Linked DNA regions of Canis lupus familiaris. The protein of the gene in region 1 purifies or fractionates together with the protein of each later gene. This does not show direct contact. Links are inferred from orthologs where the notes say so. Each region holds a gene or a part of one and is shown on either strand. Other genes may lie near its edges.

Region 1 (3,901 bases):
GACAGAAGGAAACAGCTCAGAAAAGGCCTGGAATCATCTTCAGCAAAGAGGTTCTCCACTGGCAACATGATCTACTCCAACCCCCAAACCTGGATAAACCAACACCTTGCTTGAGACAGTAAGGAGATGAATCTCAGTGGGTCCACAATGTCCTTCTTCCCGTTCCCAAAAGCATCTGGCAGAAAGTCTTGGGTAATGTGGCAACTTTGCGAGGTCTTTCAGACTGGAAATCAGGTGGCCTCCCTTTCCACCAGTAAGTCAGGTTTCCCTGTTAAGAAGTGTCCTCTGGCTCTCTGGGAGGAACAAGCAAGGGCCACATTTCATGAGGCCTCCCCACCAGCAGAGCTGGTCCACTGCTCTGGCGGAGGGAAGTACAATTGAATGTATTCATAACACTGATATGATGGAGAATTCATGATTTCCTTTCTCATGCAGTAGTCCAGAGAAGCCAGATAACGTGGTTGACATCCTCAAATGGTTTTCCTTTGATACAGGGAAAAGCCTGAGGGACATGATCCCTTACTTCTACAGCTGACCTCTTATGAACAGGAGTTGGGATTATGAGCTTATTCTTCCCACTCGCCCCCATACTTTACCTATGCCAGTTCATCCCCAATGTATTTCTCCAGCTGCCTGCATTCACAAATATGAGCCTCCATCTCTACAGGTCTAAAACCTCTATATGGACCCGCAGTCCCACAGAACCCTATGCAAGCCTATTTATACCCTTAGTATGATAGGTACATCCATTACTTTCCAAGTGGCTTCTAGTACTAACAAGACAGTTTATTTTTCTAATTCTGTTTATAAAAGGTAGAAATCATAACAGATTAACTGCAGCAACATCACACCAGGAGCAAAAGAAGCAGTCTGACTCTTTCAGTCCAGTCTCTTTTCTGGCAAAACAGAAATGTAATTTAGTCAAACACATACAGAGGCCCCGTTGTGCCGCCTCACCAATGGATGGAATGCCCTAGGGCAATCCCACTGCCCTTTTAAACGGTGGCCTCAGAGCAGTGCAGCATTACTGATGGCAACTGTCCAGTACCATTTAGCTAGAATTGGTAAAAACCATTTCTCTAGGCAAGCAGCTGACTGGCTACTACATAACTGTGCTGAGGAGTAAAGCTCAGCTTGTCTGTCAGTGGGAGCTCTAAGAGGCTCCCCACCTCCTCCTTTTCAGCTAGGGGTAAGGAGAGACTGTTTACTAGCGTCTTAAGATGAACTGTCAATTACTGAGCCCCTCACCAAGCACTCTGGAACTCCCTCAAGTATGTTGAAAATCCTTGCATTCAAAAGGCTGCTCTCTCTGCACCCATTGCCACATGGCACTCCCTCTGGGGCCCATTAACACAGGGCCATAATTGGCTCTTGAGGACACTCTTGAGCAATGTGTTTTCAACTAAACCTCAGGGAAGACAGCTTGGTCCTACTGCCATTCCAGCCTCTATAGGTCCTTTGGGATCAGGGACTGAGTTGAGAGGTCTCCAAGCAAGTAAGGAGCTGAATTGGCTCTAGCTCTTATAGCCTCAGATCTGAGGCTGATAGGCACTCTTCTTGCACCCAACCTGCTTTTGGCTAGCTACTTGCCGTCTCGTTCTCTTTCAGCTAACATTTCCTCTACATTGAGATTCTTTTCAATGAGATCCAAAATCGTTGCTAAAAATGAAGTGGGGCTGGAGAATAAAGTTAGATATGATTAAGTTCTTATTATCTACTAATGTGGCCTAGGCACCAGCAGCAAAGGCCCTGCAACATGACCTAGGCCTGGCCATCTCTCCTGGTCTAACGTAGAAAAAGATCATCATCAACTTAAAAGTCTGCTGCTCCAACCAGACCAAGCTGGACCTGAGCCCTAGTTTAAGATACCTACTTAGCCTTCCAAGAGTAACAGTACCCCATTTCACCTTAAGAGCTCCTCTTTCTATGCCACATCACACAATTTCAATAAGAGAAGGACAGCTACTGTCACATCTACCAACATCTCAGCTTTCTAAAAGCTCCTCTTTCAGTATGTGACTGGTGGCCCCCAATAATTGAGTCACCAGCATTCCTGCAGGCACTTACTTGCACACTTTGCCCACCATGGAAATAAAGACATACCATAAGCTTCGTAAGAATCTTGAACCTCCCCATGTCCATAGTCATAATATTCTGAGTCCCTGAAAGCCAAAGACAGAGCGTTAGAGAGCTAGAGTAACTCTTGTTTCCATTTCTCATTCCTCTCACATTTCAGTCATTTTAATAGGTGTGGAAGACAGGAAAATGCTCGTTCTGCCCCATCTCCAAACCAGAAAACATTTCAAAACATATAGGAGCTAGTAATTATTTTTTTTAAGGAGCTAGTAATTATTAAAAAAAAATTGATAACCATAGCAAAGATGGATGCCACATAATTTAAAGTGAGAGAGCATAATCCAAAACTGACCATCTTAATTATAGTGTACACACACACATTTATAGGGCTCATTGGAAGAGAATAAACAAACATGCTGTTCCTGTCCCCACTGTATAATTATGAGACACTTTTCAATCAATCACAGACAAAATATGTATACACAAAAACATTATTATTTAAGACGAGTGCACAAAACAACCCAAGTTATGGTAGTAAGATTCTAGGCTTCCTTTTAAACTTTAATGCACTTTTAATGTGACAAGAATACATCAAAACAATTTAATGGCATTTTCCCTTCATTTCCATGCGGTCACAGCTCAGTAATTTTCCATCTGCTATTCCCAAATTCTACACTGTAAATTAAGATTCACAGCTATCTAAGCTTATAGATCTGTGTGCCCTACAGATATGGAAAGTAAAGGCGATACTTTCCAAAAGGGAGCCACGCTGCTCCTTAGATGTGTCCTACCTAAATCTCTCAGTTGCTCAAACTCCCTCCCATCCATCCCTAGGACACGAAACAGCACTTCTATTGCCTGACTTACCCTTGGCTCTGGCTGTAATAGCCTTCGTAGCCTTCATAACTCTGTTCTGCGTAAGTATCATCATATCCCTGGAACAAATAAAATGAAATAGTCAGAATCACACAGAGTAGGGAAGGTAATTACAACTCATAGGAGGATGGCAGACTCCCAGATTAACAATGCAAAACTTCCCTCCAAAATTTACACTCACTGGGGAATTGTTGAGAGAGAAAGGGTTATTTTTTTAAAAAACGAAACAAAACTGAACTACCAACCAAACCAAATCATCTTTCAAATTGTGGGCAGGAAACAAGGTAAACAGTTGAAGTTGAGAATTATCAGTAGTACTAGCAAAAAGACCCCTTACTAAAAGACTATACATATCAAGGTACAGCCTATTTCCTGTTTAATCTATTCACACATAGTAAACTGCTTAAAATGGAAAAAATCTTCTCATATTTTAATGCTCACTGCAAGAGAAGAGACTGACTCCAGATCTCTTATAGGTTGTCCCTGCCACCTATGTCAAAGGCCAACGCCCTATCATTCAACTTTGGCAACCTTCTAGGTATTGGGAAACAGCACACTGTTCCAACTCCTTACATATTCTTCATATGTTTCCGGCGCAGGGGGTGGAGGCAAAGGTATTCTCTGGATGCCTGCTGTCCGTGCTCTTGGTGCTGGAGCACCCCTCACCGTAGGTGGGGGTGGCACTCCTCGAGTCACGGTGGCACCTCTAGTGATGGCTCCTCTCACTGGGGTACCACGCACCAAAGCCCCCCGAGGTGGTCCAACACCACGGCCCCTGCAAAAAGAAAATTTACGTTAAATGGAGCTTTTAATACATCAACTAACACATTCCTGTTCAGATTTGTTTGCAAAATCTGGAGCTAGGCAGATTTCACGAGGCCTTAAACAGACTACTATTAAAACACAGAGGAAACAAACAAAACAAAACAAAAAACCCACAGAGGAACAT
Region 2 (4,377 bases), about 160 kb from region 1:
TGCCTTTGGCTCAGGTCATGATCTCTAGTCCTGGGATCAAGCCCCGGATCCAGGCTTACTGCTCAGCGGGGAGTCTACTTCTCTCTCTCTCTCTCCCTCTCTCTCTGCCCCTCCTCGCTGTTCGTTCTCTCTCAAATAAATTAATAAAATCTTAAAAAAAGAAAAAAAGAGGGATCCCTGGGTGGCGCAGCGGTTTGGCGCCTGCCTTTGGCCCGGGGCGCGATCCTGGAGACCCTGGATCGAATCCCACATCGGGCTCCCAGTGCATGGAGCCTGCTTCTCCCTCTGCCTGTGTCTCTGCCTCTCTCTCTCTCTCTCATGAATAAATAAATAAAATCTTTATTAAAAAAAAAAAAAAAAAAAAAAAAAAAAAAGAAAAAAAGAGCAAGCGTTGGAAATGCAGCGCCAGCTACATTAAAGCCAACACCAAAGTTTGTTATTGGAGGCCACCTCTCTGGATGGTATGTTGGTCCTCCCGGCCCCCATCCCACCCCCACCCCCAGCTCCCCTCAGCATTGCTTTCACTGAACTGAGCTTGGCCTTGAAGTCACCGACCTGTGGGGGTGTGTATAGATTTGTTAAGATCCAGTGTATGTTGTGTGTATAGAACCTGCTTCTGCCTCTGCCCATTCGTGCACACATATATTTTCTGGTGATATGTCTCGTGTTTGGGATAGGGTGAGTGTGAAGTTGTGTGTGGGGAACTCTCATCTAACGCTGAGCAGACTCTGTGGCTCAGCTTAGAGTTCTCACTCCTACTAAACACAGGAAACAAGCTTATTTGCAAAGCCACACCACAAGTGTGAGGGAATGGTGGTGCACTGGCCAGCCAAGGTGCTGAATAGGTGTAATTCTGGGTGTGAACAGTCTTCCCTTTGGTGCACTATTTACAGGGGAGGGACTACCTAACCTCTGTTAAGTACCTACAATGTGTCAGGTACAACCCAGGGCATGTCACAGGTCCCCACAAGCATTCTGTAAGGGAGAGATTTATTATTGCCTCTTCACAGATTAGTGATCTGGAGTTGGGAGTCTGGAGGATGAAGTCAATATTGTTCAGGGAAATGCCAGGACCAAAACTGTATCTGGGTTGGCCTAACCCTGAAACCCATGTTCTTTGCACTATACCATGTCCATTAACTGTCTGGTGTTTGGTCTTGCTCTATTCTCTTGCTTCTCAAGAAACAGAAACCAAGGACAGTGCCCTTGGCTATGTCATAACCTCTTTCCAAAATGGGCCTTTGTCCTTCTCAGAACTGTGTTGACTTCCAGGGAGCCTTCCAGATCACCTGAGGGAAGGCTGTTCTCTGAGAACCTCACCTTTTTCTCTTGCCCATCACTTGGTCCTTAACCCTTTGAGGAGAACCTCTGTCCCTGAGCCATGAAGGCAAGGGACCCTGAGTAATCTATCAGCACATGCTGGATGAGAGAGGTGCAAGTCCAGGGTGTAGATGAGCCCCTCTGAAGCACAGGGAGGGTTCCCACAAAAGGCTACCAGCCTTGGACTTGGGGACAAGAGAAAGGCTGGGATACGCTGCTGACTAGGTGGAAACTATGTGTCAAAAAAATTCCAATGGTGGAGGGTAGGGTGAGGGAAACCTGGAAAGTCTGGCTCACATGGGGATGCCCCCCATAAACTGAAGGTTCAGAAGAAAGTGAGGGGGTGGGCAGGTAGCTGACTATGCCTTCCTGGGCCTCCACTTCCCAGGGGTTTGAAGCAGCAATCAGTAGGACCAACTGGTCCTACACATGCAGTGGGGGGTAGGGGTGAAACCAGAGGAAGGGGGTGGGCATCCCATGACACTCAGCAGGGGCAGGAATGGCAACTTTCCAGATGGAAATGCAGACGTTCTCTGCCCAGGGCCAACTGCACCCCAGTCTCGGATAAAAATAGCCCTTCCTCTGCTCTTCCCTTCCCATTCTCTGTCCTTCGACTCCCTGACCTCCAGTCAGACACTTCCGCCCTGGAGGCCCATCCCAGATGATAAACATACCCTCACGTATCCAGCAGCTTCCGAAGAAGACACCTCTGCCTCTCCAGCGCTGCTGGTCACTGAGGCTAAAATCACTTCTCACGTGTCCATCCGGATGTTCCGAGGGATTCCTCTCTCTCTCTCTCTCAATCTCACTCTGTCTCTCTCAGACGATTCCTGTCCCTGGGGTCTGCCCCAGCAATCAACAGGATTCCTGGGTCCCCTGACTCAAGCCTATCACCCTGCCCCATGGGTGGGGGGTAGTACTAGCCTAGGCCACCACCCTCTCCCAGAGACTGACCCTGCCACTGCCTTGCTGAGTACTGTGGGGAGGGAGGTCTTGCCTTCTCTGGGCCTCAAGATGTTCACCCATCATCGGATCAGGGGCTGAACTTAGGGATCTTTCTTTCTTTCTTTCTTTCTTTCTTTCTTTCTTTCTTTCTTTCTTTCTTTCTTTCTTTCTTCTTTCTTTCTTTCTTTCTTCTTCAATATTTTATTTATTTATTTATTTATTTATTTATTTATTTATTTGAGAGCGAGAGTGAGTGAGCATGAGTGGGGTTAGGGGCAGAGGGAGAGGGGGAAGCAGACTCCTTGCTGACAGAGGAGCCCAATGTGGGGTTCGATCCCAGGACCCTGAGATGATGACCTGAGCTGAAGGCAGACACTTAACCAACTGAGCCACCCAGGTGCCCTTGAACTCAGGGATTTCTGAGGCCTTTTTAAAATACCTGACAGTCCATGTGCCAGATCTCTAAGAAAATGCTCCCAGTGAGGTAGGGACCAGTGACTGACGGTGTGGCAGGGGCAAGAGGTGATCCAGCTGAACTGTATGAGGCCCACCTGACCTCTAGCAAGATTTTTCTATTCCCCAGCCTGTAGGGCTGCTGGATGCCCAGGGAGCCCAGCCCCATGCCCATGCCCAGGTGTAGCCCCCACTGTCAGGCTCCCAGCACAGCCCTGAGACCCCTGTTCCCAGTGTTCCTTACCTGCCCGGCCCGGGAGCCCTCTGGTCCCATTCACATGGTCCTCCTGGCTTGGCCTGGCTGCTTACACACGGTTTTGGCTCCCCTTGCTAAGGTGGCCACCGTCTGTCTTAGCGCGCCCACGTCCCACCCTGACTTCCTGCCTCCTTCTGAGGGCTCCGCAGCCAACCGGGCCCCAGCAGCCCAACCACAAGCCTCCGGCACCCCAAGCTTCCTGCTGTTAGAGCCCCCCACTCCTCAGCCCCTGGGGGTCCTAACCATCTCCAGGCCCTCCTGAGGGTGGCACTTGGAGCTGAAGAGAGGACACTTGATGGAACCTCCCTCCTGCCCCCCAGGGAGCACCTGGACAAGAGAGTCAAGGGCAGCCTTTATACCCCAGTGAGCAAAGGGTGAGCAGACACACACTTAGCTTTCAGTGAAAGGCGAGTGGCACAGCTGTCACAGTCTGAGAGCTGAGTGAACGTTTCATTGCAGTCTAGAGATGGCAAAGGTGACCCCATTTCCAAGTCAGAGGAGAGAACACTAGCCCTGTTAAATAGTTGGGGAGCCAAACATCCTATGCTACAGTCAGATGTCAGGCTAGTACGGCTGCCTAGCAACTGTCATGCCATCTCAGGGCAAGGGACAACAACTTTACTAGAGTCAGAGGGTAAGCTTCTTACAGACAGAAGGCTGGACAGCAAGCTGTTTAAGCAAGCAGGCTAGACCACCTTGTGTCTTTAGAATGACAGATTAACAGCTCCTGCTGGGGGCAGAGGACAGGCTAACACCCACTCATCAGGGCGACACTTCTAATTCAGGAAGAGGCAAGGTCACAGCCCCTGTTAGACATGTAGGGCCTGCCACCATCTCCTGCAACAGGTGGAAGGCAGACAAACACTCCTGCCCAGGCACCCAGGTGCCAGCCGCTGACTGGCAGGTCTTTTCTGTTAGAGGCAGGACAGAGAAGCCTTGTCAGGAGCAGCAAGCAGGCTGAGAATCTCCCTTCCCCCTGGGCCAAGCTGAGGGTGGCACCCATCATAGGTTAAGTGCCAGGTTATCAGTGTTATGAGGAACTCTGGACGGTCTCTATGAGGCACAAGAGCTGGGCCTTGGCCCCACCCATAGGAAAGTATAAATGTGTCACAGTCACCACTGCTGGAGCCCACACTTAGCGAGCAGTTTGGGGGAGGGGAGCCCACAGAGCATTGTTGGGGTTTGTGAGGTGGAAGCTGATGCTGTGTGCACCTCAGCTGCAGAGGGAAGGGGGAGACAGGAAATGGGTGGGGGGAAGAGGAAGCCTGAGCTGGAAAGTCAGACAAAGAGGGTAACACAGAAACAAAGGCTGAGGAGATATGTTGTAAAAAAAACCTATGGTGACCCAGAGCCCTGCACAGGCCCCTCTGGCCTTCAGCACAACAGCATTCATACCACTGGCG
Region 3 (4,546 bases), on another chromosome or scaffold:
AACATAAAAAGCCAAACATCAACCTGGTTCCTGTCACATCACCAGGACAACTAGTACCAAAGCACTTCCCCACCCCTCTTTTAAGCCAAACTACCATCCTAGAAATCAGCAAGTGCCAGCCCCACTTCACAAGCGATAAAGTGAGAAGGGATGGGGTTAGGTCAGAATGAGGTCTGACACGTTGAGTGCTGCGCATTTCCTTGAACCACAGCATCCCTCCTGCAGGTCCACAGTGCCTCTCTCTCCTTGGCCAGACTACAAGCACTACATGGAACCCTGGCAGAGTCAGCAGGAAAAGGCCAGATGGTAGGGGACACAGCTGGCAGCCCAACCTTCCTCAGAGCCTGTGGGGGGGGGTAGGGTAGGGGGGCTGCAAGGATCAGAAGTCACCAACAAAGTATACCACGAATGGGCAGAAGTGGGCGAGCTTCAGTGAGAAGCTCCATTTACAATGTGTGAACCCTACACAAGCATCTACTAGCATTTTTACTCAGACTCCTTCAACCTGGGCCTCCAAAATCAAAGGGCCAAGGCTCCTATATTCTTTGCCTACACTTGCAGCTGATGAGATCACTGAATCTGTATTTCTCTAGCTGACCTACCCTGGGAGCTGGGGGCCATAGGATCCCCTGCATTCCTGTCACCAACCCCCAAAGACCTGAGACACCACGGACTAGACTCACTCTTCCCCACATCCCTCTGTTCAGGCCCCAACTTACAAATAAGTCAAGTCACACCCGAGAGTCAGATGTGCAAATCTCTCTAGATTTACTCCATGATTTTACTGTCATGTACTATTCTACGTATGATAGGTGGGTGGGTGAGGAGAGGAGTTAAAGCAAAACAAAACCATTTCCTCCCTTTAAGTGAAATGTGAACTTGGTTCCCATCCTCCTCCCTCCCTATACCCTCATGCTCTCCTACAGCCATAGTCCACCTCCCTCAACATTCATAGTCCAGGATGGAGGAGGGCAGTCACACTCTTTTACTTCTATTGTTATTATTAAAAACAGCTCACACTTATTAAACATTTACAATGTATCAAGCACTGTGCTACATGTTTTACACCAATTCTCATTTAATCTCCAGAGCAACCATATATAGCATATATTTTACCATTCCTACTCTATAGATAAGGAAACTAAGCTCAGAGAAAATAAGTAACTAGCTAGATAAGCAAGTGGCCCACAACTAATCAATGGGCTTCAAATCCAGCCTTGTCTTCAACCACAGAGCTGCACGTACTGCCTGCTGATCACATGCATGGTTTGAAGTGCAGTCTGTTACCCAGGAAATCTCTACTGGGGAACCTCTGGTCAGTGCCACCAACTGAGCAGAGCATAGGGAGCACTATAAAAGCAAGGAAGAGGCTGTGCCTGGAAGTCTTGATGCCTGGGTGAAGTCCCCAGGACTATCTATCTGGCTCTCTGCAGTGTCTATCATTCCACAATTTTGGAATCCAGTCTCTCGAATCACTAAAATCTTCTCTCCATAGCTGGCAGGGCTGATGGAGGCACAGCGGAAGGCAGTTGCCATTTCTGAGTTCAGCAGCTGTATCAGATCTGGAGTTTGTAGTTGAGGGTGGCTGCTTCACCACAAGACTTTCCTTCCTCCCAATCTCCTCACCCATCTACACACATGTACACGATACCCAAGGTCTGTAGGGCCTTCCCATGGGGGTGTCACTTCCTGACGCCCCTCCTCCACATGGACCTAGTTCTGAGTCTCTGGGGGGAGTCCTTGCAGGAAGCAACCCACAACCTAGGGTTGCAGACACACTACCTCTCACACTTGAAGGTGGGGGAATGGAGGGCAGAGCTGGGTGCCCACCCGGCCACAGCACAGGGATGCATTAAGTGTAGTAACACTGAAAGGATCTGGGCTTTTTCAAAATCCCCAATTCCCTCCTCCTGAGATCTGTCCCAAAGCAGCCAAGTTCAGGCCTGAGAAGGCCAAGCAGCAGGAAACCAAAGGTAGCCGCTCCCAGCTCCCCGTGGCCACGCAGCACAGGACGCAGGACACAAAGGGCTAGACCCAAAATTGGCTGCACACTCTCGAAAGTACCTGACTCTAAGGCACGGAGGGTGGCCTTTCTGGGCCACGCTCTTGAGGATGTGCTTCCAAGGGTAAGAGAAGCCTGGCCTCTTTACCAAGAGTCCGGGTCCTGGCTTTGAGTGTCGGCCCACCCACGCAGACCTCTAAAATTCAGCTTCGAGACAAAAGCAGCAGCGGGAAAAAGCAGCCGCTGCCTTCCCTCAGGCTTTTCCAAACCAAACAAGACCACCTTGCACCCTCTCCGAGAGGGAGAGAGAGAGGAGGGGGGGGGGGGGGCAGGCCCGGCTCTGACCCAAAGCCAGCCCTACCCCAACATCTGCCTAAATTCTACTCAGGGAACCCAAAGGTTCCTTTGCAAATGGAGCCCAGCCCGGGGGGCCCAGAAAGTTTCACCACGACTACTCTTCTGGGGAAAAAAGGTGGTGGGCGATGACCGTCCGGCCTGGCCCCCGATTCTGGGGCCGGGTGGGCTGCCGCCGCCTGGGCTTCCCTCGCCCCAGTCACCAGCACTGCCGGGGGGGGGGGGGGGCACCCCCGACGCCTGCCCCGCCGGCCCCAACCCGCTGGGATTCTTAGGCCTCCGGGCGCAGCGCCTGGAGCACCCCCCGGGCTGGGGGAGGGGGTGTCCTGTCAGGTGACGGAGGACCCGGATGCCCCCCGCCCGCGGGGACCACCGGGGCGGGGGCGGGGGCGGGGCCCGGAGGCTGCGGGGGAGGGCCCCAAAGTTCACCCAAGTCACTCCAGAGGCGGCGGGGCGCGGGAGCGGGAGCGGGAGCGGACTCGCGCGGGCCCCAGGGAGCGGGCGCACTTACTGGCCCCCTCGATCTTGTCGGCGCCACGGCTCCACGTGATCTGCCGCGTCTCCAGCTTGACCTGGAAGGTCTTCCGCTCCGGCCGCTGCGACTTCTTGGAGTAGAACAAAGTCATGACGGTGCCCACCTCGAGGCTGCGGCAGAGGTGCAGCACCTCGGCGTCCGAGGGCGCGCCGGGCCCGCAGCCGTTGGCGCAGGGGGAAGCGGCGCCCGCCATGGCTCCGGCGCTGGGGGCGGAGGCCCGGCCGGCGGGAGCAGGCGGCGGCGGCGGCGGCGGCGGCGGCGGCTGAGGCGGCTGAGGCGGCCCGCGAGCGGGCCCGGCGGCGGCTCCTGCGGGCGGAGACGGGGCGGGGCCTGAGGCGGGGGGCGGGGCGGCTCCTCAGGCCCCGCCCCGGCCCGCGCGCCGGGAACAAAGGCGCCCGCGCGCCCGTGGAGAGGACCCCCGCCCGCCTCCCGCCGCGCCTGCGCCCCGCGACCCCCGGACAGGCCCAGGCAGGGACGCGGGGCGCAATGGCGGCGGGGGCGCGCCCGCCGCTCGCGCTCCCGCGGCCCGCCGCTCCGTCCGCCGCCCTCCTCACGCCGCCCCGGCCGGCCCCGTCACGCGGCGGCAGCCCCGCGCCGGCCCGTCAGTCAGTCGCACACGCACGGGCGGTCGCCCAGGCCCGCTGTCCCGCACAGGCCCGGCCGCAGCCGCTCCCTCAGCCCGCTGCCCGCGCGGCGGCCGGGAGGAAAGGTGAGGGTGCAGAGCGCCCCGGCCCGCCGGCCGAGCCCGGTTACCTGGGCGGCTGCCCGGCGGAGGGAGCCAGCCAGGCCAGGCCGGGCCGCCTCACACCCGCGGCGGCGGCGGCGGCGGCGGCGGCGGGGCAGCGGCGGCGGCGGCGGAGGCGGGCCCTCCGCGCACCCTCTCCGGGGCGGGGCGGGGGCGGGGCAGCCTGCGGATTGGCTGGCGGGCTTTGACGGACAGCAGGCCTGCCCCGCCCCGCCCCTTGGGCCGCTCGGGGCTGCCCCGCAGGCCGCTCCTGCGACCGCCGGACCCTCGTCCGTCCCGCCCCTGCGGCGAGCGTGGCGGGCGCTCGACGGCCCCGTCCTCCGGAGCGGCCCCCGGGCCTGAGCGCGGCCTGTCGGGCCTTCAGACCTGCGGCCCCCGGCGGCCTCCGCCTGCGCGGCTCCTCGCCCGCCGCCCGCCGCCCGCCGCCCGCGCCACCTCACGCCCCGCCTCCTCGCGCCCCTCTGGCAGGGGTTTCCGCGGCCTCACTCCGCGTGTTTTCCTCCCGCCTCCCCCCAGGCCGCTGCCCGCGGGCCCGGAAGCCTCTCTCCGGCTGGCCTGGTCCGGAGCCGGGCGCTCAGGCGACGCCACCTCCCCAGGGCTTCACTCCCAGACCAGGCACCCCGGGCTGCCCCGCGGCGCCACTCCCCTCCGCCCTCCGCCCTCCCCCTCCGACTGCGCGCCCCGCTCCCTGCACTGCCCCGCCCCCCCCCCCCGAGCCTGGCGCTCGGTCTGCTAACGTGCTTGGGCCAAGCCCCTCGGAGGTGTCCTCGACGCCGCCGCCGCCTCGGCTCCCAGCCACCTCGCGGGCCGGCCTGGCCGCGCCACCGTTGGCCCTCGCCACCCCACCCACCACGCCTGACTTGCATCTTCTCTCGTCCAGACTCTTTACTCTCCCTGGTCTTACCTGCAT

The links.
Region 2: the proteins of KHDRBS1 (region 1) and LCK purify together in Homo sapiens (affinity purification with western blotting; 5 studies listed by BioGRID and IntAct, with this or other methods). This does not show direct contact. The link is inferred for Canis lupus familiaris from reciprocal best matches to the Homo sapiens genes KHDRBS1 and LCK.
Region 3: the proteins of KHDRBS1 (region 1) and PLCG1 purify together in Homo sapiens (affinity purification with western blotting; 7 studies listed by BioGRID and IntAct, with this or other methods). This does not show direct contact. The link is inferred for Canis lupus familiaris from reciprocal best matches to the Homo sapiens genes KHDRBS1 and PLCG1.

What each region holds. Positions count from the first base shown.
Region 1 is NC_049223.1:68,522,394-68,526,294, forward strand, and holds part of KHDRBS1 (KH domain-containing, RNA-binding, signal transduction-associated protein 1), read right to left. Parts: intron 3,728-3,901; coding exon 3,526-3,727; intron 3,012-3,525; coding exon 2,944-3,011; intron 2,163-2,943; coding exon 2,104-2,162; intron 1-2,103. UniProt on the Homo sapiens protein: Recruited and tyrosine phosphorylated by several receptor systems, for example the T-cell, leptin and insulin receptors. Once phosphorylated, functions as an adapter protein in signal transduction cascades by binding to SH2 and SH3 domain-containing proteins.
Region 2 is NC_049223.1:68,359,880-68,364,256, forward strand, and holds the start of LCK (tyrosine-protein kinase Lck), read right to left. Parts: upstream 3,121-4,377; 5' UTR 2,963-3,120; intron 1-2,962. UniProt on the Homo sapiens protein: Non-receptor tyrosine-protein kinase that plays an essential role in the selection and maturation of developing T-cells in the thymus and in the function of mature T-cells. Plays a key role in T-cell antigen receptor (TCR)-linked signal transduction pathways.
Region 3 is NC_049245.1:29,750,731-29,755,276, reverse strand, and holds the start of PLCG1 (1-phosphatidylinositol 4,5-bisphosphate phosphodiesterase gamma-1), read right to left. Parts: upstream 3,121-4,546; 5' UTR 3,085-3,120; coding exon 2,868-3,084; intron 1-2,867. UniProt on the Homo sapiens protein: Mediates the production of the second messenger molecules diacylglycerol (DAG) and inositol 1,4,5-trisphosphate (IP3). Plays an important role in the regulation of intracellular signaling cascades.